Linked DNA regions of Arabidopsis thaliana. The protein of the gene in region 1 interacts with the protein of each later gene in a pairwise test. Each region holds a gene or a part of one and is shown in the gene's direction. Other genes may lie near its edges. The genes, in order: AT2G36580 and ISPF.

Region 1 (17,470 bases):
GAGAGATGGGCGTTGAGTTCGCGTCGTTGACACCCTCCACCACAGTGGCTGGTGCCGCTACGGCAGTCTTGGTGACCGGAAAGGGAGTGATGCAGGGCGTTGAGTTCGACATTGACAAGGAAATGATGCTCTCGTTTTGATCCAGATAGAGACTGGAAATGAGAGGCAATACGAGAGAAGTAGAGGTAGAGTTTGTGATTTTATGAAGTCTTTTTACTGGTCACGGAATAATTAGGGGAATTAAGGATTGTTTGGAAAACTTTTCTTTTCTTTTTACCGTTTCCTAATTAATATGTGGCTGTCCCAATTAATAGAAAATATATAAATTAAATTTTGAAGTTTCACTGTGTATGTATATGTTGTCTGTACATACAGAGATAATATAAGAAGGTAAACAAAATCGATATTTTGTCTATCTATGTAAAATTTAGTTTTTCTTTTCTGTAGATGTTATCTATAGATATGGATAATAAGAAAGAAAACTTTTTTTATATATAATTAATTTCATATTAAAAAGAACTTAGTTTAGATTTTCGCTTAAAACTTTATGATTCTAGTTATTAACCATTGTTAACGGTTTAAATACCGTTATTTTGTAATGCTAGCTAGTGACCGTTGTAAATGGTTTTTATAACGTTTAAAACTTATAATTCTATTTTAGATGTGTTGGAAAGACTAGTAATTTCAACATTTTCATATTTTTTTAGTGATTTGTAACAGACTTCTAAAATGAACAAACTTACTTATATACAAATGAATATTATATTATATAATAATATAAACAATTAGACCTTATATTAATATAATTTATATTCAATGGATATTAAGTTTCAAATATCAAATAATTTAGATTAAAATGCAAAAAAGAACAAAAAAGTCATGATTTGAATTTGGCCGAATTAAATCATTTCAATGTAGCTGTCTTTTAAAAATGTTATTTTTTTGTTTTTAATGGAAACAGTAATTAAGTGTTACATAGAAAGTATTTTATTTTGACTAACATACAATGCTAAGACAGATTTGTTTTAGTATACGATAATTATATATTTTAAAAGTAAAAGTTGGGAATTTGAATTGGCTTGGCCAGTTATACCACTAAAAAACAAATTTCTTAAATGGAAAACGCCAGCGGGAAGCAAAGAACACGAGTCAAACCTTTATAGTTTTTTCCACTTCTAGATATTATATAATTAAAGTACAAATGGAAAGAAATATAGATTTTGACCAATTTAAAATAAGTTCACGGAATTTGTTTTTGATGTTCAGAAAGAAAGAAAATTATGTATATTTGGAAAACATCAACGGAAAAAAAAGTAGTATTTGCTAAAACAAAATCTACAACAATTGCAAATCATCAAGTCCGGTAATTTTTTTTTATTTTTGTATTTTTCTTCAGTCAAACCGATGATGTGTTGTAACGTAAATGGCATCTTTTTCCAAACTCAGATTCTTTTTTTTTGTGTTGATAACATTATAATTTCGACCACTTTAAGCCCAAGGCCTAAGGCCCAACTGTATAGCATAACGTTTACCGTCAATGCTTGGGCCAACATAATAAAACCAAGCGCGCACACACACATCAAGCCGACACATTCGGAAAGACTAAAAGAGCGACCCAAAGGGAACTGTGTTTTTTTTTTTTTTTTTTCTTTCTTTCAAAGAGAAGCAACGAACATTATCAATTCAATATGTTGTTATCTCCCTGTTTAAAGTTTCAGGTTGATTCAAGTTCTTCGTAGCAGAGAATTAGATCAAACGTAATCTACGTGAAATGCAAATGCATGGCCACATCGTAGCAGAATACAACATCACTACATGAGTCGTTCCTTCTCCAATGTTTAACAAAATATTCAACAAGTATACAAAGCTGACACTCTAGTCAAAAATTTGTAATGGTTATAGTCGTAGTTGTTACTTGTATGTATATTACTTAGTAAATCAAACATTCTTAAGATAGTTGTTTTAAGTAGAATACAAAAACAACCTAAAACTGTAAATTTTTTGTTTAAACTTTGGTAGTATGAAGGTGTAAAAACTTTAGTAAATTTTATTCAAAAGATAAAAAAACTTTGGTAAATTTTCTGATTAGCATTTGAATGGAAAAAGGGGATGGGAATCACAACGCCAATTGCGCATTTCTTTCCTCCTTTTATAATTTACATTTTAAATTGGTTAAAGGGGTCTCGAAAATGTCGGGTTGGTAAAAAATAAGAGTGAGATTAGCTACAAGAAAGCTGACTTTGTTTTTCAAGCAAATCATCAACTGTCGCGTCGTACCAATCATGGATCCACCATGTTATTTGTTATTTTTTTGTCGGCACACTAGTGTTAATTTGAATTATTTGATATATTAATAGCAGAAATAAAATACTTCTTACTTGAAGAGCTTAAACATATTTTCATTACCCGAGAATGTTGGTTTATCAAATGTGTATATTAGTGGAAATGACAAATACGAGTCCAATAGTTAACGTAATAACTACCCTTCTTTTGGGGTTCAAAAGAACTAATTATGTTGTTTGGAGATTTCGGGAATACGAGATCGAAAAATCTATCTTATTTGGATTTGCTTTGATTCATTCTTAGTGTAAAAACCAAAAGGAAAGCTAACCTGTTATAAATTTTGATTTACTCAATATCTAAACAGAAAAGCAATTTGCACAAGTAACTTTAACTAATCTTGTAACAAAAAGACACAAGTTAAAGCAATGATATACTGTGGATACCTTTTTCAAACATTGGGTAAACTTTTTGGGCGTAGGGTTATGTTCACCCACACTATGGAGTGGAAAACAGCAATCATTCACACAACCACCACCATTCCTACTTTTTGTGCGTAGGGTTATGTTCAGAAATATGATTTACCATTATCTCCTTTTTTACATCTATCAAAGTATATTATTAACTGATTAATGGAAATTTCAGTTGATATTACTCGATAACCTTATGTCATTACTCAGTTCAATCCTTATGTTATATATGCAATTTTAACATAGAACGTACATTATTCTTCATGAGTTCTGTTCCTAATCAGTGCTATGTACGTAACTTTTGTTTTTACTTTGTTCAGTTTTTGTTTTGTCTCTTTTTTTCTTGACTATGACACTGCATTCAAAAACATAAGAAAACAGATTAAAGAAAAGAGAAAAAAGATAAAATTGAAAGATTCGTTTTTCTCAAATTTCAATAAAAAGAAAGATACATTTCTCTCTTCACACTTCACTCTTCTCTTTCCCGCCTCTCCGCCATGGCTGCTAAACCTCTTCTTCTTCCTCTTCTCCTCCTTCTTCATCTCTCAATCACCTTAGCTCAAAACGACACAAATGCTCTCACACTCTTCCGTCTCCAAACCGACACACACGGCAACCTCGCCGGAAACTGGACCGGCTCCGACGCTTGTACCTCCTCATGGCAAGGCGTTTCTTGCTCACCATCTTCACACCGCGTCACTGAACTATCTCTCCCTTCCCTCTCCTTACGAGGACCATTAACCTCTCTCTCCTCCTTAGACCAACTTCGTCTTCTTGACCTCCACGATAACAGACTCAACGGCACCGTTTCACCACTCACAAACTGTAAAAACCTCAGACTCGTTTATCTCGCCGGTAACGATCTCTCCGGTGAGATTCCTAAAGAGATATCCTTTCTTAAACGGATGATACGTCTTGATCTCTCTGATAACAATATCCGTGGAGTTATACCAAGAGAGATTCTCGGGTTTACCCGGGTTTTAACGATCCGGATCCAGAACAATGAGTTAACGGGTCGGATCCCGGATTTTTCTCAGATGAAGTCACTTCTTGAATTGAATGTTTCCTTCAATGAGTTGCACGGAAACGTCTCCGACGGCGTGGTGAAGAAATTTGGAGACTTGAGCTTTTCCGGTAACGAAGGATTATGCGGGTCGGATCCTTTACCGGTTTGTACTATCACAAACGACCCGGAATCTTCTAACACTGATCAGATTGTTCCGTCGAATCCTACTTCGATTCCGCATTCTCCGGTTAGCGTTAGAGAACCGGAAATTCACAGTCATAGAGGGATTAAACCGGGAATAATCGCTGCGGTTATCGGTGGTTGCGTGGCGGTTATTGTTTTAGTATCTTTTGGTTTTGCTTTCTGTTGTGGAAGATTAGACCGTAACGGCGAAAGATCAAAATCCGGAAGTGTAGAGACTGGTTTCGTCGGAGGAGGAGAAGGGAAGAGACGAAGCAGTTACGGAGAAGGAGGAGAGAGTGATGCGACGTCGGCGACAGATAGGAGCAGACTTGTGTTTTTCGAGAGGAGGAAACAGTTTGAGCTTGATGATTTGTTGAAAGCATCTGCGGAGATGCTTGGGAAAGGGAGTTTAGGGACGGTGTACAAGGCGGTGTTAGACGACGGCTCAACGACTGTGGCGGTGAAGCGGCTTAAAGACGCGAATCCATGTCCGAGGAAAGAGTTTGAGCAGTATATGGAGATTATTGGTAGGCTTAAACACCAAAACGTTGTTAAGCTAAGAGCTTATTACTATGCTAAAGAAGAGAAGCTCTTGGTTTATGAGTATCTTCCTAATGGAAGCTTGCACTCTCTTCTTCATGGTAAAACTCTCTTCTCTAAGCTTTGATTATCAAACTGAAAATGCTCTGTTTTGCTTAGTGACAAAAGTGTTGATTTTTACTACATTATCGGCCAAAGTTATGATTTTTTTATTGGTGGTTTTAGGGAATCGAGGACCAGGACGGATTCCATTGGATTGGACGACGAGGATTAGTCTAATGTTAGGAGCAGCGAGAGGATTAGCGAAGATTCACGACGAGTATAGCATCTCAAAGATACCACACGGCAATATCAAATCCTCTAATGTTCTATTGGACAGAAACGGCGTCGCGCTAATAGCTGATTTCGGTTTATCACTTTTGCTAAACCCGGTTCACGCTATCGCTCGGTTAGGAGGATACCGTGCGCCGGAACAGTCGGAGATCAAACGTCTCTCTCAGAAAGCTGACGTGTACAGTTTTGGTGTGTTGCTTCTCGAGGTTTTAACAGGAAAAGCACCCTCGATATTCCCGTCTCCGTCTAGACCTAGATCAGCGGCGTCGGTGGCTGTGGAGGAAGAGGAAGAAGCGGTGGTTGATTTACCGAAGTGGGTTAGATCGGTGGTGAAGGAGGAATGGACGGCAGAGGTTTTTGATCCGGAGCTTTTGAGGTATAAGAACATAGAGGAGGAGATGGTGGCAATGCTTCATATCGGTTTAGCTTGCGTTGTGCCTCAGCCGGAGAAGAGGCCGACGATGGCGGAAGTTGTTAAGATGGTTGAGGAGATTAGAGTTGAGCAATCTCCGGTCGGTGAGGATTTTGATGAGTCACGAAACTCAATGTCTCCGTCGTTGGCTACCACCGACGGCTAAGTTTGGTTTCTGTCTGTCGATGTTGTAGAATACGTATCGTTTGGACCTTGTCGATTTTTAAGGTTCTTGCTTAGAATCCCTGATTTGCGAACTTGTCGGAGTTTTTTTAGCCATGTTTTGTGTTTTCACTGTTTGTGATCGTAACGGGGTTGTGTGGTTTTGTGGATTTATGAAGCCGTTTCAATAATAAAACCCCATTTGTTACTCTTTAAAGCCCATTAGGCCCATATGTTTTAGATGAATTATTTTGCAATTGCTGCTATTTAATTATAGAACCTAAAACTCGAACGCCCATTGATTAGTGCTTCTAGAACGGTGGATGCTTCTGTGTCCACTGGTAATTGTCTTTTTGGTTGAAGAGTCAGCCCTTCGGATTTGACCTTTCGTGTACCTTTTAAGCCCATTGATTATGATTGGCAGATTAAGTAAATTAACGAATGGTCAAGCACATGATTAGCCAAATCATGACAAATAAATGGATTCCTTTTTCATTTCTGGAAGCGGAATCTTGTCTAACAATTTTTTTAATTGATAGTAATATTTTATGTTATGGGTTTCTGATAGTTGAAGACTTGAAATGTTGAACTTAAAAGTGAAATTACGCTTTCATAATTTCATTAAGCCATGATGGCAAGTTTTTTTTTTGGGTTGAGGTCAACAAGAGCAAGTTTAATGGTATCGAATAGTGCGTAACTGAAATAAAACTTGTTGAAAAATCATTCATTCACTATTCCTCGGCGCGTGAGGCCAATTTGACCCCTTCCCCCACGAAATTAAACTTGGGGAGTACTAAAAGTCTAAACCAGCAACGTCGCTTTTCATGTGCCTTAATCACACCCTTTTCTGCCACGTGTACGATCTGGGACCGTCGTTGTGCTCATTGACATTTGTAGATCCCTTTCTAGATGTTCATTAAAATTACTTAATTTATATCCAGTCCTTCTACTTTTAGTTTTTTGATACTTTAATCCCTGTTGTTTTAATGATACTTCATTCAGTATCCATCCAAAATCAAATTAAATCCATAGATTAAGATGTACATTTTTGAAAATAATAAATGGTTTATTATAATATGTTACTAAATTTATGGTATTTTTCGCTCTTGTATTGACTTTTACATGGATACATTAATTTTAATCTTCTTTGATTTCTGTTAATTTTCTTTGAATTCATTTTATACATTTATTAGTGAACTATTCTAAAAATTAACAAAATCATTTAAACCGACAAAAAAAACTTTAAAAGATCAGCGTATTATAAACCAACGGGGGATAGTTTGCATTAGGTATTGGACATCTGGGGGGTAAATAGAGCGAAACAAAAGTTGAGGCTTGTTTTTCAACATTTTCATTTTATTGTGTGCTATTTAAACTGCGTCGTATTTGGAGGCATATTCGCCGGTCAAGCGTATCAAATACCCAATCACGCGAACTTTTCTCCGCCTCTTCTCCACTCCAAAATTCTTCTCCGTCTTTCTCCCGTCACCGTCGAATAAAGCCTGAGATCTCCGAATTCTGATCAGCAACTATGCATTCAAGTCATCTCCTTCTCGAGGAACCGATCAGGATGACTTCAATCCTCGAACCTTCTAAATCAGTGAGCTATTTATTTCTCCTTCTCTCGCTCTGTGTGTTTTCTGTGGTTGTTTTGATTTCCTTAGCTCGTTGTTGATTATCGATTACGTTTGGATCTGTTGCGATATTTCATCCATTTTGAAGCAGTGAGAGATTTGTTTCGTTTGTCGTGGTTTTTGATCCGCTTGATGTTATTTCGCAGAGTTTCTTCCCGGCTTTGACTAAGATTGTTGGGACTCTAGGTCCGAAATCTCGATCCGTCGAGGTGATTGCTGGTTGTCTCAAAGCTGGAATGTCCGGTAATTGCGATTACTTCACTATTTGATACGTGATTCGCCTGGGGTTCTCTTTACTGGTTACTGATGTGTCGTTCTTTTTGCAGTGGCTCGATTCGATTTCTCTTGGTGCGATGCTGATTATCACCAGGAGACGCTGGAGAATCTGAAGATAGCTGTGAAGAGCACTAAGAAGCTTTGTGCTGTATGTTTTCTCTTTTCTTTGGTTTTGCTCTGCTGGATCTTATTTGGTAATGCTTAATACCATGAATTAAGATTGTGGTTTATGGCTTTTCCAGGTTATGCTAGACACTGTAGGACCTGAGTTGCAAGTTATTAACAAGACTGAGAAAGCTATTTCTCTTAAAGCTGATGGCCTTGTAACTTTGACTCCGAGTCAAGATCAAGAAGCCTCCTCTGAAGTCCTTCCCATTAATTTTGATGGGTTAGCGAAGGTTTCTATATATAACCCTTACCGTTTATTTTTTGGGAGAAGATGATTATTGCTTCGTGTCTATAGGGTTTGATGGATGTTATTGTTTGATGTATTCAGGCGGTTAAGAAAGGAGACACTATCTTTGTTGGACAATACCTCTTCACTGGTAGTGAAACAACTTCAGTTTGGCTTGAGGTATAAAAGAATTTTGCTTATGGAACCACTCTACACTGTTCTCTGGAATTCAAATTTAGACTTTAGATGTTTTTTTTGTGAGAAGACTAACCATTTAAACAAACCTTCAGGTTGAAGAAGTTAAAGGAGATGATGTCATTTGTATTTCAAGGAATGCTGCTACTCTGGGTGGTCCGTTATTCACATTGCACGTCTCTCAAGTTCACATTGATATGCCAACCCTAACTGAGAAGGATAAGGAGGTAAGTGTTGCTTATAATTTACATATCTCAGTGACTGCTTTGCTCTGTCTCTAGTAATATTCTAGCTTATCTGTTCGAGTGCTTTAACTATTTTGTTCTGTTTTGGTTCTCTTCTAGGTTATAAGTACATGGGGAGTTCAGAATAAGATCGACTTTCTCTCATTATCTTATTGTCGACATGCAGAAGATGTTCGCCAGGTCCATATTCTTTTTCATAATATATTTTTTCCACCTTAGAAGTATGGCTACTTCGTTTGGGTTCTTTACTCACTACTAATTCTGAGCTTCTGATACGCTTGAATTATCATTTTTGTGCCACAACACAGGCCCGTGAGTTGCTTAACAGTTGTGGTGACCTCTCTCAAACACAAATATTTGCGAAGATTGAGAATGAAGAGGTAAGTGAAATGCATTTATTTTGCCTTTACATGTTTCCTCTGCAACTTTTCTGTGATGGTGCTGTACTGCTGTTTATATTTACCGATGTGTATTTGATTTTAGGGACTAACCCACTTTGACGAAATTCTACAAGAAGCAGATGGCATTATTCTTTCTCGTGGGAATTTGGGTATCGATCTACCTCCGGAAAAGGTATGATGTTGGTCAGTCAAATCAATACGTTTGGGTCCAAACCCCTACGCACTTTCTATGTAGATTGGTGTGTGACTGTGTGTCTTATTAGACGATTAGTGATTTTCTGGAACGAAGTACTAAGTTGACCGAAAAACTTGTAGGTGTTTTTGTTCCAAAAGGCTGCTCTTTACAAGTGTAACATGGCTGGAAAGCCTGCCGTTCTTACTCGTGTTGTAGACAGTATGACAGACAATCTGCGGCCAACTCGTGCAGAGGCAACTGATGTTGCTAATGCTGTTTTAGATGGTATACTTAGTTTCTGAAATATGTATTTTGTACTGCTTATAATTTATAGGAGGGAATACATATTTGTGGATCATAGTTTTGGTCATAACTTTAAGAGGGTTTCTTTCCTTTCGCTTCCTGCAGGAAGTGATGCAATTCTTCTTGGTGCTGAGACTCTTCGTGGATTGTACCCTGTTGAAACCATATCAACTGTTGGTAGAATCTGTTGTGAGGTAGGCTTTATCGTACTGTTCTAAAGTATTATTATTTCCATCACCTTCTTAGTATCTCAATCATCTTAGCCATGGTTTGTCATCTGATTTCTCTTATGCATTGATTACTTGTTTATAGGCAGAGAAAGTTTTCAACCAAGATTTGTTCTTTAAGAAGACTGTCAAGTATGTTGGAGAACCAATGACTCACTTGGAATCTATTGCTTCTTCTGCTGTGAGCCTCTCTTTTGTGTTACCTATGTAACTTAAAAGCTGACAAGTTGCCTTTCAAGTTTTCTAACTTAATGGCTTAAATTCTGCTTGATATCAGGTACGGGCAGCAATCAAGGTTAAGGCATCCGTAATTATATGCTTCACCTCGTCTGGCAGAGCAGCAAGGTTCACACCATTCCTTCCAACTTAAACTGTTCGTACATTTAAATTCTAATGTAGCTGTCTAATAAATGTTTTATCCATATCGTGAAAGGTTGATTGCCAAATACCGTCCAACTATGCCCGTTCTCTCTGTTGTCATTCCCCGACTTACGACAAATCAGCTGAAGTGGAGCTTTAGCGGAGCCTTTGAGGTAAACTTTCATCCTGATTGTGTGAATTTTGAAAAAGAATTGGGATTTTCTAATGCCACTTGTCAAGATTCAATGATTATGGTTGTTACTTGCTTATGACTGCATATACTATTTGGCAATTGTCCCCATGATGCAAAGGAATAACAACTCTTAAATGTGCTTTATAATTGAAGATAAAAAAGAAAGTTACCCTTTGGAATAATGTCACCTCTTATAGATTTCTATGTATGACTAGAAAAGCTTTTGTCATATCTGAATTGCATATATGGACTTTCTTTTGATTATTGCTCAAACTTAACATCGTGTTTGTGCCTATTGTTGTCTCAGGCAAGGCAGTCACTTATTGTCAGAGGTCTTTTCCCCATGCTTGCTGATCCTCGTCACCCTGTAAGTCTCTATTGCATAGAATTTGATTCATTGCAAAAAGATTCTTGCTTGCAAATTTAGTGCTATAGTTGCAATTGTAACTTTAGTGGGGTTTGAAACCGTATTTTCTCTAATGTATTGTGAATCCTCTTGTTCAGGCGGAATCAACAAGTGCAACAAATGAGTCGGTTCTTAAAGTGGCTCTAGACCATGGGAAGCAAGCCGGAGTGATCAAGTCACATGACAGAGTTGTGGTCTGTCAGAAAGTGGGAGATGCGTCCGTGGTCAAAATCATCGAGCTAGAGGATTAGAAGAAGCAGAGTGAGTCGTTGTCTCGGTCTTTTTTGTTCTGTTACTAATCAATTTTATTTCCTTCACTAAAACTCTTGGTGCCGTCCAAGAAAAATCCTTGCAATCATTGTTTCTCGCCGGCTATATGCTAGATACCGGAGTGAAAATATATCTCCTGGGCTTTTGTTTTCGTATTTAGGAGATTGATGTTTCCAAGTTATGATATAAACCACTTTCCACTTTATGCATAATATCTCCATCCCCTAGTAACCATAGTTCTATATACATTGTTTTATTGAAAATTAATTTTATTGATAAGAAATCCAACTAAGAATAAATACGATGAGTATATATTATGAATTACAAATCTGCAAAAACGTGGAAGTTTTTGGAGTCAAGGGCGATGAGCCTAAGAGCTGCAATGGCGGCAGCAACAGACATCAAACTGAAGAAGACAACGTTGAGCCAATGGCATAGCTTTTGCAAAGTATTGAGCTTATTGTTCTTAGCCTTATAGTACATGTGGTTGGCTAGAATGAATGTAAGGGGGAATGTGCTCACTGCACCAGTGAGGCTCATGAAGTCCCCAAGGAACGGCAAGAGTGCTGAGAGAAGCGTACTAACTGCTATGTACCCGCCTCTTGCCATGATCCTAAACAACAAGTTCTTTAATGCCAATGGGTTTCCTTTGATCCCAAACTTGGTGTCCATGTACTCATATGTTGGACTTGCAAAAATCTACAAAAATTGAGTAAGAACGGATTGACTAACACATAATTCTTTTCTCGAAGAGAAACTTACGTGCAACGAGATAACGGATTGAAGGATAGCGGAGATGTTAGCAAGGGCTTTAACCCAAAGTGGACCATTAACGTTGTTTAGTAGATAGGGCGAGGTCGAGGATCCGTAAGCCCAATACCCGATGAATACAACCGCAAACATCGGTAAAACACCCACCGTGAATTGAAAGTATAGAGCCTTCATCATGTTTTTTACTACTGGTTGCTTTACTGTTGCCTATCAATATCATGACGGAAAAAGCAGTGTAGATTAGAAGGATTGTCAAGCAGTGTAGTAAAATACACACACTAAACCTTTGAAGCCTAAAACATGAAGCTAAAAATCTCGAAAAAAAAGAAATCACCTGAATTTCTGGAAGCATCCCTGTGTTGAATACGAAAACTAGTGTAGCGGCTGCTCCAGTGATGGTAAAAAGTTTGCTTAGTGGTGATCCTTGTATCTCGTAATCTCTTGAAGGTGCTTTAACTCCTACAAAAGCAAAAATATAAGGGAAGTATCTGAATTGTCAGAAGCTATAAAATCCATAAGTAATGGCTAACGCCTGATCATTACATAAGTTATACCATCTTTAACCGATAGCACGATTGCCACAACGATATAGATGAGGCTGAGGATAGTCGAAACCGCAAGCCATATCCCAAGAGCCGACAAATGAGGAATTCCAATAGCAAAAACCGCACAAATCAGACCCGCAATAGCTATAAAATGAGGTAACTTCATGGCATGATCATCCCTAAAAAGCACATAAACAGCCTGCAGAAAACAGAACACACCCCAAACATAACTGACTTCTGGCTCACGGAATCAAGAATCAAGAGAGAAAAATGTTTACTACGTACCTTTAAGGCGGAACCAGCTAGTATGATGAAACCACAATTAATCATGAAAAGATTGACATATTGCAACACCCATGTAAGACAATAAGCCTTTCTACCTGAAAAAGAGATAAATATTTCAGTGAAAGTAACAGAGAAGATAGAGAAAGATAAAGCAAAGAGAGCTGGTTTACCGTAAATGAATCCCGCAAGGTCTCTATAGCGAATGTGTCTTTTGCCACCAAACTCATGAAGCTTGGCTACGAGAGTGTTTGCATAGAGTGAGATTGCAGTAGCAAGAATAAGACCAACCACACCACCAATCCATCCTAAAGGAACCATGACTGTTCCTGAATATCCCAACACGTATGCGCTGTTTATACTTGTTGTCAGAACGAACGCTGCCTGAAACCATGAATCTGTATATTCCACAAAACTTACTAATTAGCTTTCCCCAATATGCGATCATATCAGCTTCTAAACAGTTCCGCTTAATATTGCAAACATGCATAAAGAAGAAGCAAATGGAATTCTTAGGTCACATTTCTTTCTTTCTTGTAAATGATTTTCATAGTTTAAAGAAAAAATAGTAATAAAGAAACTGAAATTGAGCACTAATCCAACGTTAATTAAATAGATAAATTGAGAAATCTTAAGCAGTAAAATTAATATAACAAAACAAAAAGAGGGAGAAAACGAATGACAAACCGCTGCTAATCTGATGAGCAGTGTCAGGGATTTCGATATCAACACCTTCCCCGACATTGTTTATGCGATTCTTAGAGTTCATGACCTCTCCAAATGGTTATTGTGTCTCTGTAGCTAAGAGACTTTCCCTATATAATAGATGGTCGGTAACAACGGGACAGACTATGGTGAGAAATCAAGTCCAACTAGAAGTGGCGGAGAGATTTTTAAAAGATTTTAGAAATCAGAAGTTGTTGAACAGTTTCTTTCATTATATACGAATTACGAAGCAAGCACAATTAAAATGTGGTGAATGAAGAAATTTCTTTGGAATTGAGTGGTTCAGATCTAGACACAATCATTTACTGCAAAATTGGGATAATATATGAACAAATTGTACAAATGATAGTGTTAGACTTATCACAAAACAATCCAAAACAAAAAAAACATCAACTCTGAAATGTATGTGGCTGTGAATTTGGAAAGACACTTAAATGTTTCTTTAGACCGTTGAAGTGTTGTTGGGAAATGAGTGTACGCAGCTTGATCCTTAAAGATTTTTTGGACATTTCTGCCGTCTTGTTGTTAGGCTGAATAAGACTAGATACGAAAATATGTAACGTGACACGAAAGATAATAAATAGGCCAAAAGTTTATAGTGTACTAAATTCTCTTAGAGTTTTGACTTTTTATTGTTTGATTTATTTAAAAAGTGGCCGGCCGGGACCTCTATCAACACATTTATGTTAGACCAATTTTTTGGTTGAATACTTAAAACCATTCTTTTCAAATGTGACATCACAATACGATATATCAACATCCGCTAAAACTGAAATAACACTTTTTCTTTTTTAGAGTATACATAACACTGAAATTGAAATTGAAAGCTAGCTTTAGAGATCTAATGAAGAGTTGCAACAATTTTGATCTTGTAAGAAATTAAATCAAAACTTTGTCCAAATCTATTCTTTAAGGTTATGTCCCCGTTATACACATGATTTGCCTCTGTTATTTCTAGTAATTGTATGTTAATCTTTTTCAAAGAGATTTATCGTTTTAGTATATATATAAATGTAAGTAGGTGATAGTACAAAAGCGCCCGTGGCCTAATGGATAAGGCGTTTGACTTCTAATCAAACGATTGTGGGTTCGAGTCCCACCGGGCGTGCCAATTCTATTTTTGTCCATCTATAAATCGGCCCATTGTTGACAGTGGTCGGCCCAATTATACTTCGAATGTTAGTTATTGTTTCCATTGCTGATAGATCGACAGGACGGTTTTGTATGGCGATTTCGGCAAGAGGAATGGCGATAACTGGAATCGAAGATCACAGATACTGGAATTGGATTGAAACAGAAGAATGAAGGTACAATATTTCCGAAACTCATTGAACTTAAGTAGAATTAGCAAGTAGATATCAAAGTGTTAACACAGAAGTAGATGATCAAGAGCATTGCAATACTTGGTTTGTGATCATGTTATTTGACCTGTTTTTCGTAAACTGTTGATCTTTGGCTCTCAGTTTTGTGAATCTTTTAGAACAATTCTCTCTCTGGCAGATCAAATAAGGATTGAAAGTTTCCATATGTTCCTTGTGTTAACAAAAAAAAGTATCACACCACAATTATTCCGGTTCAAAGTCCATTTTTTGCTTGTATCTCATACTATAGTTAAAAACTTGTACCATTTCATATCACCAGTCGATTCAATATGAACATGTAAAGTGGGTACAAATTGTGATTACTTAAAAAAAATGAAAATAGATAGGCTTTGACAATTGTAACTTGAAAGAAAAGGGTCTTGTTCAAACGTAAGGACCATTCTTTAAAAGGGACCATTTTAATGTTAGGGTAATTGTTAAAACGTAGTTTAAGTTGTTATTCCAATGTCTATTTTCGTATTGAATGTTGATTTCGTTTTCACGACGGGGAGACACGTGACAGTTTCGACTTAAATTACCAAAAAGGTAATAATGGCAAATGGAAAGTCAGGTTCTGTGACTTCTGCCTTCCACTTGTTGGCATTTGGCAGTGCCAAAGTACATGTCAGAAAGATGTTATTGTCAAATTTGTCTGTAAAAAGAATTCTTATACTAGATTTCACCATGCTCTCTGTTTAGCAAGTACGTAATATACTGAAAACATTAACCGTTGGTTTTGGTGTTTAACTAACATGGAATTTTGACCTATAAAGAAGGAAACAATTCTAGTGAGCTTCTTCTTTATACGAAAACATTCAGTAAATGACACAACACGCTGCTCTCTTGAGCTTTATTTCTCTGTAACTTTATACTATATGGTCCTCGTTTTTAGATTATCATAATATAGCTTTCTTCGTAGTACTATTTAGTATTTACTCACTCAATTTATCACTTCTACACTCTCTCTATTCATTGGATTGTGACAATAATAGTTACGTATCTCGATCCCAAAGTGTTGAATTCAATAGATTTTAACAGGCTTTATACCTTCAGCTTCTAACAGAGATGCTTCTTGATTTAGCTTAGAACTAGCAGATAATAAGTAGATCTCTTTGGCATCTTTGATTATCCATCATGCTCCTGATGGTTAATTATTCTGTTTATATGTAACTTTTATTGTAGTTACATTCTCATTATTGATCCCTTCCAACATTGATGATCAAATATATCTTCGATCGGGATTCAAAAGAGCCTTTAACTAATTACTCTTATCTTCTAGCGTTTGTAGGATTTTTGTTCGCTTTCATTAACATATGTGAACACGAAAAGTTAAACCAATTTTTATGATTATAATCTATTACAAATTTATTTGGTTTACATTGTTTTATTTTAAGCAAAATCATATGGGACTAGTGGCTCTTTTTCCGTTTCCCAACTTATACGTGTTTTCGATACCACATGTTATATAAAAAATATATATAATTAACAATATTTCCAAATGCTTATGAAAAATTAATAATGATTTAGATACAGTTTTGTTTCTGGTAAAGATGTATAAACTAATACACAAGGGAGAAATAAATTATTAAAAAAAAGTCAGTTTAAAAAAATTAGGATCACCGGTTAAGATTTTTTTCTTTGAAAATCTTTTATTTTTATTCAATCCAATGACTTGATACAGAAAAAATATCCCCATCTTGAAATCACATCAAAAATTGGCTGATGTAGTTGTTACGTGCTTTGGAAATGGAACAAAATATACTTATGTCAGTCACAATTAACGTTTAAACCGTAGAATTTGATTTAGAGAAACATAACTAGTGCTAGAAACTTCATCTTTATCTAACCATATAAGCATTTACCATTTCTTCAAGATAAGTTGCATCATTCAATTTCTAACTATACTTTATCGCCGGATCATACCAAAAAAACACGTAGATCGATATGATGATACTATTTTCACTAGTGCACTGTGTGCTCCCAAATTTTGTCAGGATCAGAATTGGACCCTTCTGATCTATCTGTTGGAGTAGCACCCTGCAGCTCCACAGTGTTAAATAAAGATTGTGGGGACTTTACAAATACATATACATACAAAGAGATGAAAACTGGAGGCTATATTACAGATTGAGAGTAGAAGTTTGAATTCATATATGTCAGATTGGTTGGTTAATTAAGGTAGAGAAAGTGATAGACATTTGTACAAATGTAGAATCTGGACCATTCTCTCTTTTCTTTTTCACCTCTATCTCTTACTCTTACTGTTCCTTTCTCAACTCACATTACTTTCATTTTATTTTATTCTTTTATATATACTAAAATCCACATTAATTGGTCACGTATAATACGAAATACCTACGTTATTACTTATGTAAATATCTTACTTATGGAAACATACAAGGTCATGTGAGAATATGAGAATAATAATCAATTTTTAACAAAAATTTCAAACTAAATAATCACCATTAACTTTTTTTAGCTCGTTTTGTATCGTATAATGCATTTGCTCAACACCGCCTATTCTTACCCTCATCGTTCGGAGTACTATTTGTTACCGGTCAGACTAATGAAACCATTCATTTACACATATATTTATCTTACTTGATAGTGACCAATTAGTTACCCGAAGTTAAAAACAGAAGCCCTAGCGTTTTCAACCACATTTACTTATCTATATATAATGTTCCTGCATGTTCTAACATATGCATATAGTGATAAAGATACACCCATATCAAACACCCAAAGTTGCTCATTTCCTTGTTTAGGTAAAAAATAGTCTCTTGAAAGTGATTGTTGTAAGCAGAGATAGACAAAAGAGGTAAAAAAAAAGAAGAAGAGAAGATGGAATATTGGAGCAGCTCCTTCATCGATGGCGCGTCTTCTTCCAGCTTCATCTCTCCTTTCTATAACTTTGACCATTTTTCAGGTAACATGCATCCATAGTACTAGGTTTTAGTAGAGCTAGTTTATATGCTTAATGCTTAATCATTCACTCAACTGTATGTCGCTTTACAAGTCTCTCTCTGTCTTGTATTGAATTTGTAGGAAACCAAGACAACAGATGTTTAGGTACAATGATGGGTGCACAACAAGATATACTTCATGTTCCTCTAGCAATGGTAGAGAGTGGCTATGGAGAAGAAAGCAACAGTTTTAATGGACAGGAGAAGAAAAAAAAGAAGATGACGAGCGAGCAGCTAAAGTTCCTCGAGAGAAGTTTCCAAGAAGAGATAAAGCTGAATCCGGACAGGAAGATGAAGCTGAATCCGGACAGGAAGATGAAGCTGTCCAAAGAACTGGGGCTGCAGCCGAGACAGATT
Region 2 (15,162 bases), on another chromosome or scaffold:
TCTCTCTCTCTTACTATATATATGTGTGTGTTTATGTAAATATATGTTTGCATAAGAGGAAGAAGGAGAAGAGGAGAAGAAAGGTTATAAGGATATTTGTAGGAAAGAAAGAAGAAGAATGAGTTAAAGGGTATAATATTGAAGCCAACTATATTCACCTAACTTTTCTGTTCAACTGCCTAAGTCTTTCCTCCTTTTCCTAGCTATATATCTCTTTACAACGTTTTTGGATCTATATATTATATAGAATCATATATTAATATATATCCAAAAATGCATGTACATGTCAAATGTACTTCAACCCATATTTTGAAATCTAAATAGTAAATATTAATCTTTAAAAAAACAAAAATTGACATCGATGGTATATATATTGAGTGGTCTTATACATTTTGAGAATAGTTTGTAGAATAAATTGATTAGCTTATTTAAATTTATATATTTCGGCACCAATTCGTAATATGTATTGATGTTTTTAGAATATGTAAATTGTAACGATTGTTTTAACTTCATGTGGAAAAACTACTCACATGTTTCATATAAACCGATCAAAATCTAGTTATATTTATGGTCAAAGTTCTTGTTGATGTTTTCCCATGACAAAGGGAATGTTCGGTAAAGGCTTAACTTGCTTATAAATTTACATGTAACAAGTAGTAATTAATTTGCTTTTATTTGCATTTCAAACGTGTGGTTAAATATAGTGTACCAACTCCATACACACACTCGTGAGCCTGAAATGCACGTCTGGTCGGTTTGAGAACTAGCTAAAATTTAGAGATTGTTTTAGATCACTAAATTTATATCATCCTTGTCGTTGTTTATAGATATTTATATGCACAATAATGGATTAATAATATTCACATTTTGTCAAAAAAAAATATAAAAAAAAATAATTTATATAACGAATTAATACGATAAGATTTTTTTTTCTCGATACCATAAGAATTCTGCGTATTTGTTCCATTGTCCAATGATATTTCCACCACGTAATATGGACTATATATAGTGGTTAATTTGAACATATCATTGATCTTTTAACTCTAAGTATGAGACATTTATATGATTAAAGTGGGATATTTTTATGAATTTCGCATCCCCCTTCATTTCGTTTTCGCAAAGTTTCATTTTGAAATTTCGTTCGTCCAACCATACATCCCCTACTAAGTTATACTACCGATAATGAAACTTATAGAAATCATGAAGTCGCGTAAAATGTTGGGCATTAAATACGGATAAATGGACTTAAGCAAATTATTGTGGTTGTGGTTGTTAAGAATCTCTTTGACCGCTCGAATAATTATACATCCAAATGTAATTAACCTATGCAAACTCATGCATGCACGTGGAAGCTTCTCATTCTCATAAACCATAAAATTATGTACAAATGTAAATCAAATGTTAGTGGATCCATTTTCTTAAAATATATTTTTTCTTTTATAATTTTTATTTAGTTGATGTTTTAAGAGAATACACACTTAATAAATTATTTAATTTTTGTTTACTTTAAACTAAAATATCATTTATTATTTAATAAACCAATAGAAAAATTATCTGTGGAATAAAAATCATCAAAACCAATGAAAATATAATAAATTTTGCATTAAAATTTTAAAATATCATATATTTAAAAACAAAAATAAAAGCTTAGAACATCACTTATAAAAAACAAAGAGAGTATATAAAATTGAACTTTCCGATTCAACTTATTGTGTAAATTAAATATCTACAAAAATCAATTGATTACCACATTGAAATATAGTTATTGATAGCTTAAAACTATACAACCGCAAAACAATTACAATTTTGGCTTGTAGTTAGGCTAAATTTTTGGCTTATATATAAAATTAAAAAATAAAATAAAATATATGACACAATTAGTTCCACATGAGAAAAAAAATCATGAACTGCATGCCGGTTTCTTATAAACAAAACGGAAGACAGTGCAAATCTCAAATCCCGAAACTTGACGCGCGCCTCTCTGTCTCTCTCAATCAAATTCAAATCAAAATTTCAAAAAAGCGGAATCGGAAAAAAAATCTCAAAATGGAGGAAAGTTCAGGACTATCATCGATGAAGTTCTTCTCCGATCAACACCTCTCTTACGCTGACATTCTTCTTCCTCACGAAGTAAGTTTCGCTTCCAATTTTGAATTTATCGAATCACTAGTCTTCTTCACTGTCGAATCTCGTAGTTCTGACTGAAATCGAAGCTCGTTGTTACAGGCTCGTGCTAGAATCGAAGTTTCTGTTCTCAATCTCCTCCGAATTTTGAACTCCCCAGATCCAGCTATCTCCGATCTCTCTCTGGTACTACTTAATCTCGTGCTTAAGTCCGTTTCTTAGATCGCGTTATAGCTTTCTCGAATTCGTGATTTTCTGGGTTTTTGAAGACAATTGAAATGTATCGTTTGAACAGATCAATAGGAAGAGAAGCAATAGTTGTATAAACAAAGGGATACTCACAGATGTTTCATATATATTCCTCTCTACTTCGTTTACTAAGAGTTCATTGACGAATGCTAAAACAGCTAAAGCTTTTGTTCGTGGTAATTGCTCAATGTCTCTCTCTGTGATCTTCACCCAAATCTTTGATTAGAATGGTATGAGAAAATGGTTGTGATTTTATTGAAACAGTGTGGAAAGTTATGGAAATATGCTTTCAGATTCTGCTTCAAGAGAAACGAGTCACACAAAGAGAGCTCTTCTATAAGTTGCTTTGTGATTCACCTGATTACTTTTCATCTCAGATTGAAGTTAACAGAAGTGTCCAAGGTCAATCTAAAGCTTAATTGCATTTGGATTAAAGAGTTTTTGAGCTGATTTTTTGGTCGTGCTTTGGTTTAGCAGATGTGGTAGCACTTCTACGTTGTAGTAGATACAGTCTTGGTATTATGGCTTCAAGCAGAGGCCTTGTTGCTGGAAGGTTATTTCTACAAGTGAGTTATTACTTGCTTCTAGCAATCCTTATGTAGCTAACATTGTGATCTCTGACCATTTCTTTACTTTACACTCAGGAACCAGGTAAGGAAGCTGTAGATTGTTCGGCCTGTGGTTCTTCAGGTTTTGCTATAACTGGAGACTTGAATTTGCTAGACAATACCATCATGAGAACTGATGCTCGTTATATCATTATTGTGGAAAAGGTAGCTTCTTGATGTAATCAAGCACATATGAGAGATGTCGTAATTGTCTGTAACTCACTCCTAGAATCTGTTTTTAGCATGCGATCTTTCATCGGCTCGTGGAAGATCGTGTGTTCAATCACATTCCTTGCGTGTTCATCACAGCGAAAGGGTATCCGGATATTGCCACAAGGTCAATTCTTCAACTCAGTTACAAAACCATATTGCAATGTAGTCAGTGGTATTAAGTAGCTTGGAAGTTAAATCTTTTAGGTTTTTCCTCCACCGGATGAGCACAACTTTTCCTGATCTGCCAATTCTTGTTCTAGTTGATTGGTAAGCATAAATAAACATCTTCCTCTTTGTTAACATAAAACTTTAGTGCTCATATGTTCATAAATGAGAGGTCAGGAATCCAGCTGGGTTAGCTATACTATGCACCTTCAAGTTTGGAAGCATAGGGATGGGACTTGAAGCATACAGATACGGTAAAGACTTAGCTGTTTGCACCAAATAATCTCCAAGTCTCTACAATGATAATTTCTGCATCCTCTTTAGCTTGCAATGTGAAGTGGATTGGTCTCCGAGGAGATGATCTGAATCTGATACCAGAAGAGTCTTTGGTTCCCTTAAAGCCAAAAGATTCACAGATTGCTAAGAGCTTATTGTCCTCCAAAATATTGCAGGTAACCAACTATACATTATACATTATAAGCAGAGATCAGATGTAATGGTCAAGCCGAAGCAATTCTAAGATTCGAATCTATAATCTATCATTTATACCCTAATTGATTTTGACATTTGCTTCTGACCAGGAAAACTACATAGAGGAGTTGTCACTGATGGTTCAAACTGGTAAAAGAGCGGAAATTGAAGCTCTCTATTGTCATGGTTATAATTATCTCGGTAAATATATAGCTACCAAGATCGTGCAAGGCAAATACATATAACACTTAAAACACCAACATGTAAGGTCTTCCACCAATAAAGATGCGTTTGCTTTATATTGGTTCCAAATATAAGAGAGTAACTTATTAGGGTGAAGTTTTATGCAAACTCTAATAGAATGTAAAAATAGATTACAATCAAATCAAAATTTTCCAAACTGAAGTATGATCTTTGTTTACATATGGCATTGTGATGATTTAGTAACAAAACTTGTCCTAATCTCCACTTTCCTATGCAGGTATAATGATAATTCCAACCAAAAATTCTCGCTCACTTCTTGCTTGATACAAGACTAATCTTCTTTCCCTCCACAACAAACTTGCCACTTCGCTCCAGCTGCAACAAGGACGTTAGAACAATATCAGTAAGAATGACAAACTTTGGAACTTTGTGTAGAATATGAGAATCCCACTTTAAAATGATTATGTTTACTAACTTCACTATCACACTTCTTTAATCTCAAATATAATGAATTTCATACGCTTAATGTAGATTCTATACGAAGATTTGGCATAAAGATTAGCTAAGATTGCATTACCTTAAGTTTCAAGTAAGCAATAGCATCTTTTCTTGAAGAAAACTCTGAAAGAACTGATGGTGCTTGTTCATCGATCAGAGATTTTAGCTGTTTCAGCTTCATGAATCCACCTTTACCAGCATCCTAAGAATGTTTTTGCACATATACATATAAGTCGATATGAGTGGTGGGATGTTTTAGAAGAATACAATGACAGTTCAAAATAAATTGACAACGAACCTTTTTAACAATCTGCTTGCACAGGTTCTTTAACTTGATTTTGGGTTCAATGATTTCATCGTGCTTCCTTTTCGCGGGAAGAGAACTTTCAATTACAGAGTCCTTGTCATCATCATCTGCTTCACTCTCGTCTTCATCTTCCTCTTCGTCTTCTTCGTCATCATCATCATCATCATCATCATCATCATCACTGTTATCAAAAGAGGTTTTCTTCCCTTCGTAACGAACACCAGCTATTTTCTTTGGCCGGTCTTTGATACCCAGTCCTTGTTTTCCCGCTGTGGCTTTATCCTACAGACATTCCAAAACGTCAATATATTATTAGATCCCAACCTCTTTTCCAAGAACAGCCTGCAAAGAACATACCTGAACCATGTTGTAAAGATTCTCTTGATCATTCTCACTAAACATTTTTCTCTCGCTAGCTTTTAATTTCTTTTTGCCCGACTTGGCCCCCAGAAGACCACCCGAGACAAACCCGGATTTAAATCCCCACCAGTTCGAAGAAGGTTCTTCAATTTTCTGTTCTGTTCAGTCCAAAAGATCCATACATTTTCAGTTCAAAAAAAAGAGCAGAAAGTCACAATTTCAAGATGCAAGGACAAACTAATCACCTTTAATACTAGCATCTTGGTCCTCAGATATAATTTCAATATCCATAGAATCGGCTATGTCACAAACTGCAGGAGAAGGATCCTCAGTTCGCTTAACCTACAAAACAGTAAAATAACGTGCCTAAGTCGGACTATCACTTTCATAATGAGATTTGTTTACATAATGGTGATAGCAGAGAAAATTCTAACAACATGCACAAGTTCACAGTACATGTAGAAGTTATGATCCATTCTAATCAACATGAATCTTGATCATGAGCGGATAAAAGACAGGACAGAACTGTTTTGAAAGGAAGCTTACCAGTATTCCTTCAAGATCTTTAGACGAGTATGAATTGACAAGCTTCCCTTTCTCTCTACGTTTATACCTTCCTTGTGGACGAGTGACTTTAGCAACGGTCTTCAACTTGGCAGGCTCAGATTTGACAGCATCATCTTCACTTTCATCTTCCTTATCTGAATCTATCGTATGCCACATAAAACAACAATCATTAGGATAAATAAGCTTCTCTAAGTCAAGAAAGAACTCAACTTAATAAGAAAAACTTATACCATCATCATTCTTGCTAGTCTTGGTAGGAGCAGCTTGCTGCAAATAACACACACACATACACAAAAAGATTGAAATTATTTCAAATATTTCAAAGAGCATAGTTAAAACGAAAGATGAACACAGCCATTACCACTTTCAATTTCTTGAGAATGTTATCGAACTGAGTTGTATCAAATGCCCATGGATTTGGCTTATCAAGACCAACACCTGCTCCAACATTTTAAAAAAATTCAGACCTATAACATAAACGATAGATGCATATACACCACACAAATATACAAAAGGCTTAAAGTAGCTCTATCTTGATTCCACAACTTCACATTCACCAAATTACATAAACTAAACTATGTAAACAGACATTTCCTCCTAAAAACCGAAAATAATGTTGTTGTTTTTTAGTGTAAGTGAAAAGTAGCTCTATTAAAGTTTCCTCCAATCTAAATTCCACCGAGAAAAATTCAAATCACTAGTTTCCATTAAGGAGAAGAAGAAGAAGAAACTAACCAGATGTATCTTGTTTGTTCGTAACTCTCACATAACCTTTGATACCTTGCTTATCTTTACCAAGTCCTTCTCCTTCTTCCCAACCCTAAAAAAATCACCAATCCAAAAAATTAGGTCTTCTCCTTTATAAAATCTCTACACACATTAACATCATTACAGGAAAATTCACTCACCATCGATTTCATAAGCTTGAAAGCGGCGGAATCCTTACATATTCCGACGTACTTAACCGGAGCTTCCGGCGCCGCCATCTTCTCTTCTAATTTTCCGGCGATTGAATGGAGACAATGCGTCGCCGTTTTTCAAAAGCGGTGCGGAAGAGAAGAGTGGGCGAGGAAGTTTAGAGAAACTGGAACAGAAAACCTAAAGCGAAGAAGTGATGAGTAAAACTCCTCTACACGTGGTCTTTAGTAAACTTCAGTGGATATGTAACATGATCGACGGTCGAGAGTTTATCATATTTTAAATGGGCTTTAGGAAGGAAAGGCCCAATAAAGAAATGAATATTTCCACCACAGAATTATGAATTGAGTAAACCAGAAAATCGAAGAAGAACGGCAATGGCTACTTCTTCTACTCAGCTTCTACTGTCTTCTTCTTCTTTGTTTCACTCTCAAATTACCAAAAAGCCATTCCTTCTCCCGGCGACGAAGATCGGCGTTTGGAGACCGAAGAAGTCTCTCTCGTTATCATGTCGTCCTTCAGCCTCGGTTTCAGCTGCTTCTTCCGCCGTCGACGTCAATGAATCTGTGACTTCAGAGAAACCAACCAAAACGCTTCCGTTTCGAATCGGTCATGGTTTCGATCTACATCGTTTAGAGCCAGGGTATCCTCTGATCATCGGTGGGATTGTTATTCCTCATGATAGAGGCTGCGAAGCTCACTCCGATGGTAAACATTTCTTGAAATTCGATTTGGTTAATTCGTCTTCTTGTAGATTTTAGGGTTTTGATTTGAGTTTGATGTTGGAATTTGTGTAGGCGATGTGTTACTTCATTGTGTAGTGGATGCAATTTTGGGAGCACTAGGCCTTCCAGATATAGGTCAGATTTTCCCTGACTCTGATCCTAAATGGAAAGGAGCTGCTTCTTCTGTATTCATCAAAGAAGCTGTAAGATTTCGACGCTTACCTTGATGTTCAATTTTGTGTGTATGTTCCAGTATTAGCTACTTCTTCTTTAAGCCTTATTTTGTGTGTGGTACTTTATAGAATGGTTCAGAATTCAAGCTAGATCCATAAGTTGATGGGATTTACTCAGCTTAATAATACTCTTGAGTAAATTATTTTCATCTATAGGAAGTCGAAGAAATATGGAAATCAGATCTTATCCCTGAACTGTTGTCATCACTCAACGATGCTATCTATAAGCTTATCACTCTTGTATACATGATTTTTGTCTTGAAAAGCCTTGGCATAACTCAATTTTCTGTTGAATTTTAGGTTCCTGCATCTTTGTATTGTTAGATTTCAACACATATGATTGATGATAAGTAGAGGTACTCAAGGTTGAAGCTATAAAGTTTCTTTCTTGTCCTGTCTTTTAAGTTATGGGTTCACATTTGGCGTAATGTGTTTGTTAAGTTCACCATGATTGACTGTGAATGTTGATTGCGTGGAAGCTAATCTGAATCACTTGTAATGATGTTATATAGATATAACAGAAGAAATGTTAGATTCTCGTCGGTATGAAGAATGATTCAATAAACTTGAGACGAGGTTTATTTGACTTTGTGTTTCAGGTGAGACTCATGGACGAGGCAGGGTATGAGATAGGAAACCTAGACGCGACGTTGATTCTCCAGAGACCAAAAATTAGTCCACACAAAGAGACAATCCGATCCAATCTGTCCAAGCTTCTTGGAGCAGATCCTTCTGTAGTGAACTTGAAAGCCAAAACACATGAGAAAGTTGATAGCCTCGGAGAAAACAGAAGCATAGCAGCTCACACTGTTATTCTCCTCATGAAGAAATAGAAGTCAAAATTGATTTTAGCTCTTTATCATATTCCTTAAAGTGTCTCATCTTTTAAGAAAAACATACTTTTGATTGTAAAGTGTAATCATCCTTTAAAGGTTAATTAATCGAATCGTTTCGTAGAAGCAGAGAAAATCGAATCATATTTTGTTGATGATTCATTGTGATTCCTAGTTCCTTGGTCAGATTTGAATATAATTGGAAACTGTGTCTTGGACTGCAAGTTCCTTGTGACACAATTTTTTATTTGTCTGTCATATAGTTGTTGCTTTCCTTGTCTACATGAATTCTTAAATCAAAATCAGAGAATAATAATATCATACTGAAATAAATACATCAATGATCAGAGAATAATCCTTACCCGTCAATATAAAATCAACTTCTGACTAATCAGAGACTTAACATACTGCAAATCTTAAGAGATTATACAGCCGTGATCATGATCGCACACAATAGTAGTGTGATGATGCATTGGACAAACCGGAGTGTCATGGTGAGACTGAGACCGGTAAAGAGCTTCTTCACGTTCACGTTCACGTTCACGTTCATTTTCTTCTTTCTTCTTCTTTTCCGCAGCTGCAGCGGTTTCCGCTTCCTTCTTCGGATCGAACGGGCCAAATGTAGCCATTTTCGCACTCTCCCATCTCTTTTTGAGTTTTTTGAGAATCTGCATTTCGTCAAACTCACCAATCACCGTTAACTTCCCTTCTTTTGAATCCATGGTAATAGTTGTAATTCCTGGAATAAAAAGTGTTAAGATTTAGGTCTTGAGACTAAGGAAGATCTTTTCAAGGTGGTAGGTTCTTTTGAGATTTCAATTCATAATCCATAAAGAAAACCAAAAACAGAACGTATTATTATTATTCAAAGCTTTGCAGCAAAAGCTCATTAACAAGAAGAAACTTAAACTTAAACTCACACTCAAACTCAATAATGAGTGATTAAAAGATTTGGTTTTTCACTAAATAATCATGAACGAGACAAGAAAAATCAAAATCATTATTTAAGGGATCATATCATAACCCATGAAGAATCACATAAATAGAGTCTGTGTGTGTAATCGAAAAATCTTTGCCTTTTCAATTTAAAACGCATGAACAGAACAAAAAAAAGTTTTGAGGGTTTCAAATCAAAACTCATCAAAAATCTCAAGAACAGGGGAATGTGAGTAACGAAAAGCTTTGCTTTTTCATTAAAAACTCATGAATATTACTACATAAATCAATTTCAAGTTTTGAGGTTTTTAATTCAAACCCTTAAATGATCCAAAAAGCAGAGTGAATGTTAAAAGCAAAAGCTTTTGGCTTTTCACTAAAAGAACAGAAGAATTAGATCCATCGTTGGAGATAGTCTTAACAGCAATCATTTTTGTAGGGTTTCAATTCAAAACGACAGAACCTACAACGAATCTCAAAACCAGAGAGTTTGTGTAATGAAAAGCTTTGGCTTTTCAATAAAATCACATGAGCAATAAAAAGAAGAAAAAAATTGGTGCATGTTCACCTGAACAGCTAGCTACTGTTTGGATGACTTTCTCCTTAGACCTCTCGTCGCAAACATTTATCATCACCACCATTTTCTGTAGAGAAAGTGTGATTAGAAGAAGAACAACCATTAATCAAAATACTCCAAAGTCTATAAAAATTCAAAAGACTCATTTTTCAGTACTTTGAAAACCAAATGACACATTACCTTCATTTTCTTTGTAGAACAGAGAAGAAGATGTGGTCCACAGTAAAAAGTTGGTGTGCTTTTTTTATTCGTGTAAGCAAGTCGATGATGCTTTATGTCCCAAATAACAAACCGCCACATTAAATGGATTCAGAGAAGAAAAAAAACATAATGTTGGAATATCATAGTGTTTTGTGATTTAAATTTTTTTTAGAAAAATGTTTTCTTCAGTAAAAAACAAGAGTGTGGATTTCACTTGTGAGAAATGGCTTATGGATGTTTTCAACTGTACTTGTTATTTTCTCCTGTGGTTCTTTGGAAATTTCTTCTCTTTAATGGTCCCATGATGAGTGTCCGTCGATTATTGATCGTTACTATATCCAGTAATTTCCATTTCAAAAGTTTTTATATTGTCAAAGATTCTTCCAAGGTCCCTTTTTATGGTAAGTTCATGTTCATCATATGGTTTTGTTCATCATGATCAATTGTTTTTAGTACCAACCGCCAACATCCATATTTTGTTTGCATTTTGTACTTCTTCTCCAATAAACAACGAGAAATAGATCATGAAAAATCCCCGAAAATCATATTTCAATTTGTGTTATGTGGCTAGCCAGACACGTCATTTATTTCTTAGCTCCAAATGTTATATTGTCCTAATTTTTCTTTTTGGCATATGTTTATTGATATTATTTTGCTTTATAATTCATTTGCACCACAATATTCCGTTTTTTTTTTTATGTGCGTTAAGACCGAAATGAAAGCATTTGAGTAAGCATTGAGTAATTTCCACGCACACTTTATGCAAGTTATTTCACTCGCGATCACAAGAAAACCATGTCGATTTTACCAAAAGAAAACAAAAAACCATGTGGAAGATATCTCTTAAATTGTTCATGAAAACTCTATCTTAATGGTCCTCTGTTAGTTCTTTTTTTAATGTCGACTTATGCTTCAAGAAACCATGTGAAAGTCTCTAAATTAACAAAAGTATGTGTGTTTTCTAGAAAATCAAACCACTTATAAAATCATTTGTAAAGGATAATTTGTAATTTCTGAAGTTCGCTTGTTTAGTATTAATCCCTTGAATATGTTATCCGTCACATCAAAGAAACTGTGTTTTCATAATTTTTGGTCTTTGAGTTTAACCTATTAGCAAAACTTCACATGGTAGTTAAAATTTGTCATCATTAATATTGTTTTAAGATTAGAAAGGACTCTCATCTATAACGAGTGGATCCCACGCGCAAATTCTTGTGGAACATTTCTGAGTTATGTGGCTTACCAAACAAATCATTAAGTTCTTAGTTCCAAATCTTCTACTGTCCTAATTTTTCTTTTTGGCTTAAATTTAGAATTGATACTATTTTGCTTTATAATTCGATTTCACCACAATATTTCCTTTCTTTTTCTCATTATCTCACAAATTCAAACATATTTAGCTGTCTTTTTGTAATTGCTTTTATAATAATAAATTAGTTACTTGACTCAAGAAAAACAAATACTCCAATTACTCAAGCGAACACAGCTAAAAAGCCTAAAATAAAGGTCAAATAAAAGCATCCACGATCAAACTCTACAATTCATCCTTACTCATAAAATGTCTTTATACATTAATTAATATGAACTATAAATCAAACAAATCGAAATAGTTAAAGTACCTTATGTCTTTTTATTCATTTTTCTTTAGAACTCTAGCAAATGACACAACCTTGCTCCTCCTTATCATTGAAAATATCACGAATTTCACGGTTGTATCTGTAAAGAGCTTCACGTTCAATCTCTTCCCTCTTCTGCTTAGCCTCAGCAATTTTTGCTTCTTTCAAAGCATCATAAGGTACATATAATGTTAATTTAGCTTTTCCCCATTTCTTTCTGAGGTTTCTAACCAACTCCACAGGATCAACATCTCCCATTACTACTAGTGTGCCTTCTTTCAAATCCATATAAGATGAGTGAATTCCTGAAAACAAAATATTAAAGATATGGGCTCTGAAGTTTGGGAAACTCTGTAAAACTGAGCTTTTCTTATGTAAAGTAAAAAACAGAGCGTAAAAGATTAAATGTTTGTTTTTTTGATAAAATAAATCAAACTTTTTTTAATATAACAAAGATCAAATGTTTGTTTATCTTTTCTAAAACTCTTACGAAAATAAGTTTTAATAGGATATGATTTACCGGGTAAGTCAGAAATACTCTTCGTGATTTTCCCTTTGGATCTCTGATCATAAACACCCATCCACACAATCATTTTCTGCAGAAATTGCATGAGAATACAAACTATAAATTAAAAACACTCGAACTGTGTATAAATTAAAAGATTGTTTTTTTTTTTTGGTTTGAAAACCATTAAAAAATTACCTTCATTTTTAAGAGAACAGAGCAGAAGATGGAAGAAGAAAATGAAAATGTCGATTATTCCAAAATGCTAACAAGTCTATGCTTTATATACCAAAAAATGAAAGCAACATGAATTGATTTTATTTTATTTTTGTATGCAAAAACATGAATTGATTTGGAAAGGAAAATAAACAAGCGATAGTTCTAAAAAAGGAAAGCTCTGATACGATATACCACACGCGCCATACACAAACATAAAAATTGTTTTCTTCAGTGGAGAAAAACGAACGTGGAGTTCACTCGCGACAAGTGCGTCTGGTTTTTCATCTTTCACTTTACTTTTGTTGGTCTTACTTTGGTTCTTAGTCAAAGTGGTGAAATGCTGATGATGCACTGACGGTCGATAATTACTAATTGTTTCTAACTTTTTTTTTATTAGTCATATACCAATTTCAAATTTGTTATTAGTGAAAGAGTCATTCAATGCCTTTTTCTGTTATTGGATTTGGCATCAATTGTTTTTTTTAGTTTTACCAACATTACACGTTTGTTTGCATTTTGCAATATTTCACCCATTAAAAACCGAGGGTGTTGTTTTTGCAAAACAATGGTCTCTTGTGTTAATCCAAGAATGATGTCATATTAAAATATAGATCGAGTTAGAGAAGAGTTTATAACAGTTTTGACATCTTGGCCGAATGATTTCCCCTATCAATGATGAACCTTGGCTATCATAGATATTTACCAACCACAAGGTTCTGCAGAATCACGATTTTTTTAGTTTGTTATTCCCACCATTCCGCAAATTTATACGATTTTGCAACATTCATAACCAATCATAAAAGCCCAACCTATCATAGATTCATAACCACTTTGACACTTTCTCAATTGTAGAACTCATAGGCAGTAAATAAATTTCTATGGCGTATGAAACGCGTTTAGGCTACAAAAACCTTTTTACATGTCGCAATCAATCCCACAAGACTCTATTACGTGCCGCAAAACAAATCCTTGCGTGAATTATAACAAAGTCTTCATTATTGTTTATACAAATTTCGTTTATGGTTTACAGTCGATAAAAGAAATCTAAATAAATAAATATTTTAATGATCCACGAAACAACCCATAGATCATGAGAAAACGATCTTTATCTATCTCAGTGACTAACATAGATTTTATTAGAAACAAAGCTCTCTAATGAGCAAAATATGATTATCCCAAAAAGAGGTTATAAATTATTCGAGGAGATTATTGACAACAGTGCTCTCTATAGATCATTTTTCCAATGGAAAGATGAATAACTCTCACCGGGAATAAAAGATGTTGATTTCTCTGAACCCAAAAGCTATTAAAAAAACTCCATGAAGTTTCCTTCTCTAACTCTGTAGAGCGGCTTGAGCAATCTCGAGAGCTTCTTCGACTGAAGATGCGCTTGCGAGTTTAGCCTTATCGACAAGTGGTTGGCTTCTTGCTAGCTTTGGTAGAAGCTGGAACTCCTGTTTCAAGAGATATACATAACAATGGAAGCAATTAAAATCCATATAGTTAACATATTTACATGAAAACAAAACCCATGCTGATGTAATTGCTATTGTCAAGTTTCAATGACCGTTCCAAAATATTCTAATTTTAGTCTCGCAGATCTAAAGAAGCATGATGCTCTAAAGATTGGCTAATTCAGAATGTTAACGAGGGAGATGCTAAGAAAGACTCTTACCTCAGGCGATCCGCTTTCTACTAGAACACCTTTCAACCTGCCTGTGTTACGATAATTACTCATCAAAGTTAGTTAATTTGCTAAGCTGTGTATTTGTGCAAGGTTAACTGAAGTGAGAAAAGGCTGAAGGAATTATTTACCAGATTCAATCCAGAAGGTAGCGATTTTCGGGTCAAAGTTCCCAACCTCCACTGTTTCTCCCACTGGCCAGTATGAATCAGTGGTTTAGCTACAGTGGAAATATTGTTTGAGTAATTGGATGGCGTCATATTTAGGTCAAATAGATTTACCATTATCTCCGAAAAACTGCCACCACACTTTTCTTGGGCTTCCTTCATACTCGAATACTCTTGAGTAGAAATATGGAAGATAATCGTACCTGCAAATATTGAGCAAGACAAGAACTAATAGGTGAATATCCGTTAAGGGATACAGGCAAAGTCTACAGATCTTTCCAGGGAAGAAGCTTACGTGTCAGTGTGTGCCGTGAGTAGTGATTTCACACAGTGTTGTGCAGAGCGGCGGGCGTGATCAACATGTTCAACTCGAGTCATCCTATCATATATCTGGTCATCAGACAATAAGATGATGAGTTTGCACTTCACGAGATAATTGATGGCTTAACATATATTATCTAGCAGCAAAGTACCTTCAAAGGGAAGGCTGCGACATCTCCAATAGCAAAAATTCCAGGGGTACTTGTCCTGAACAAGCCATCGACCTGTGGTTGAAGATGAGCTCTTATCAAACTTTTAATTGTATCAACATACTGATGTAGTTTCTTGTGAAGTTCTAACTCTGAAAACCGATTATCTTGGAAAATAAATCCGGATGTTTTGTAATAATAATACCTGAATTCCTCCAATTGATTTGTTCATGGCCAAAGTTTCAAAGGGGCCAATAGCAGGCTTAGCTCCAATTCCAATTACAACCTGTAAAGTAAGGATACACAGGTCGT

Evidence for each region.
Region 2: the proteins of AT2G36580 (region 1) and ISPF interact in a two-hybrid assay, tested with the Arabidopsis thaliana proteins (one large-scale study listed by BioGRID).

What each region holds. Positions count from the first base shown.
Region 1 is NC_003071.7:15,332,336-15,349,805, forward strand, and holds AT2G36580 (Pyruvate kinase family protein), read left to right. Parts: upstream 1-6,786; 5' UTR 6,787-6,917; coding exon 6,918-6,986; intron 6,987-7,166; coding exon 7,167-7,263; intron 7,264-7,346; coding exon 7,347-7,444; intron 7,445-7,538; coding exon 7,539-7,694; intron 7,695-7,792; coding exon 7,793-7,870; intron 7,871-7,980; coding exon 7,981-8,112; intron 8,113-8,229; coding exon 8,230-8,310; intron 8,311-8,438; coding exon 8,439-8,510; intron 8,511-8,613; coding exon 8,614-8,703; intron 8,704-8,846; coding exon 8,847-8,991; intron 8,992-9,114; coding exon 9,115-9,203; intron 9,204-9,321; coding exon 9,322-9,417; intron 9,418-9,513; coding exon 9,514-9,581; intron 9,582-9,669; coding exon 9,670-9,769; intron 9,770-10,096; coding exon 10,097-10,156; intron 10,157-10,293; coding exon 10,294-10,446; 3' UTR 10,447-10,751; downstream 10,752-17,470. Other genes in the region: AT2G36560 (AT hook motif DNA-binding family protein), read right to left, coding at 1-112; AT2G36570 (Leucine-rich repeat protein kinase family protein), read left to right, coding at 3,248-4,580, 4,705-5,390; ProT3 (proline transporter 3), read right to left, coding at 10,787-11,164, 11,228-11,443, 11,571-11,695, 11,791-11,980, 12,067-12,161, 12,237-12,461, 12,751-12,832; HB22 (homeobox protein 22), read left to right, coding at 16,992-17,076, 17,196-17,470.
Region 2 is NC_003070.9:23,732,236-23,747,397, reverse strand, and holds ISPF (isoprenoid F), read left to right. Parts: upstream 1-7,013; 5' UTR 7,014-7,061; coding exon 7,062-7,392; intron 7,393-7,481; coding exon 7,482-7,612; coding exon of another isoform or gene 7,613-7,636; exon of another isoform or gene 7,637-7,650; intron 7,651-8,241; coding exon 8,242-8,475; 3' UTR 8,476-8,725; downstream 8,726-15,162. Other genes in the region: SPO11-2 (sporulation 11-2), read left to right, coding at 2,047-2,130, 2,227-2,310, 2,420-2,549, 2,638-2,775, 2,851-2,939, 3,018-3,146, 3,224-3,318, 3,399-3,461 and 3 more; AT1G63980 (D111/G-patch domain-containing protein), read right to left, coding at 4,344-4,409, 4,612-4,734, 4,831-5,121, 5,197-5,357, 5,445-5,541, 5,746-5,906, 5,997-6,033, 6,128-6,204 and 2 more; AT1G63960 (Copper transport protein family), read right to left, coding at 8,892-9,214, 9,980-10,091; AT1G63950 (Heavy metal transport/detoxification superfamily protein), read right to left, coding at 11,842-12,110, 12,326-12,401, 12,509-12,514; MDAR6 (monodehydroascorbate reductase 6), read right to left, coding at 13,864-13,983, 14,205-14,245, 14,345-14,407, 14,495-14,583, 14,676-14,770, 14,854-14,925, 15,056-15,136. UniProt on the Arabidopsis thaliana protein: Enzyme of the plastid non-mevalonate pathway for isoprenoid biosynthesis that converts 4-diphosphocytidyl-2C-methyl-D-erythritol 2-phosphate into 2C-methyl-D-erythritol 2,4-cyclodiphosphate and CMP. Is essential for chloroplast development.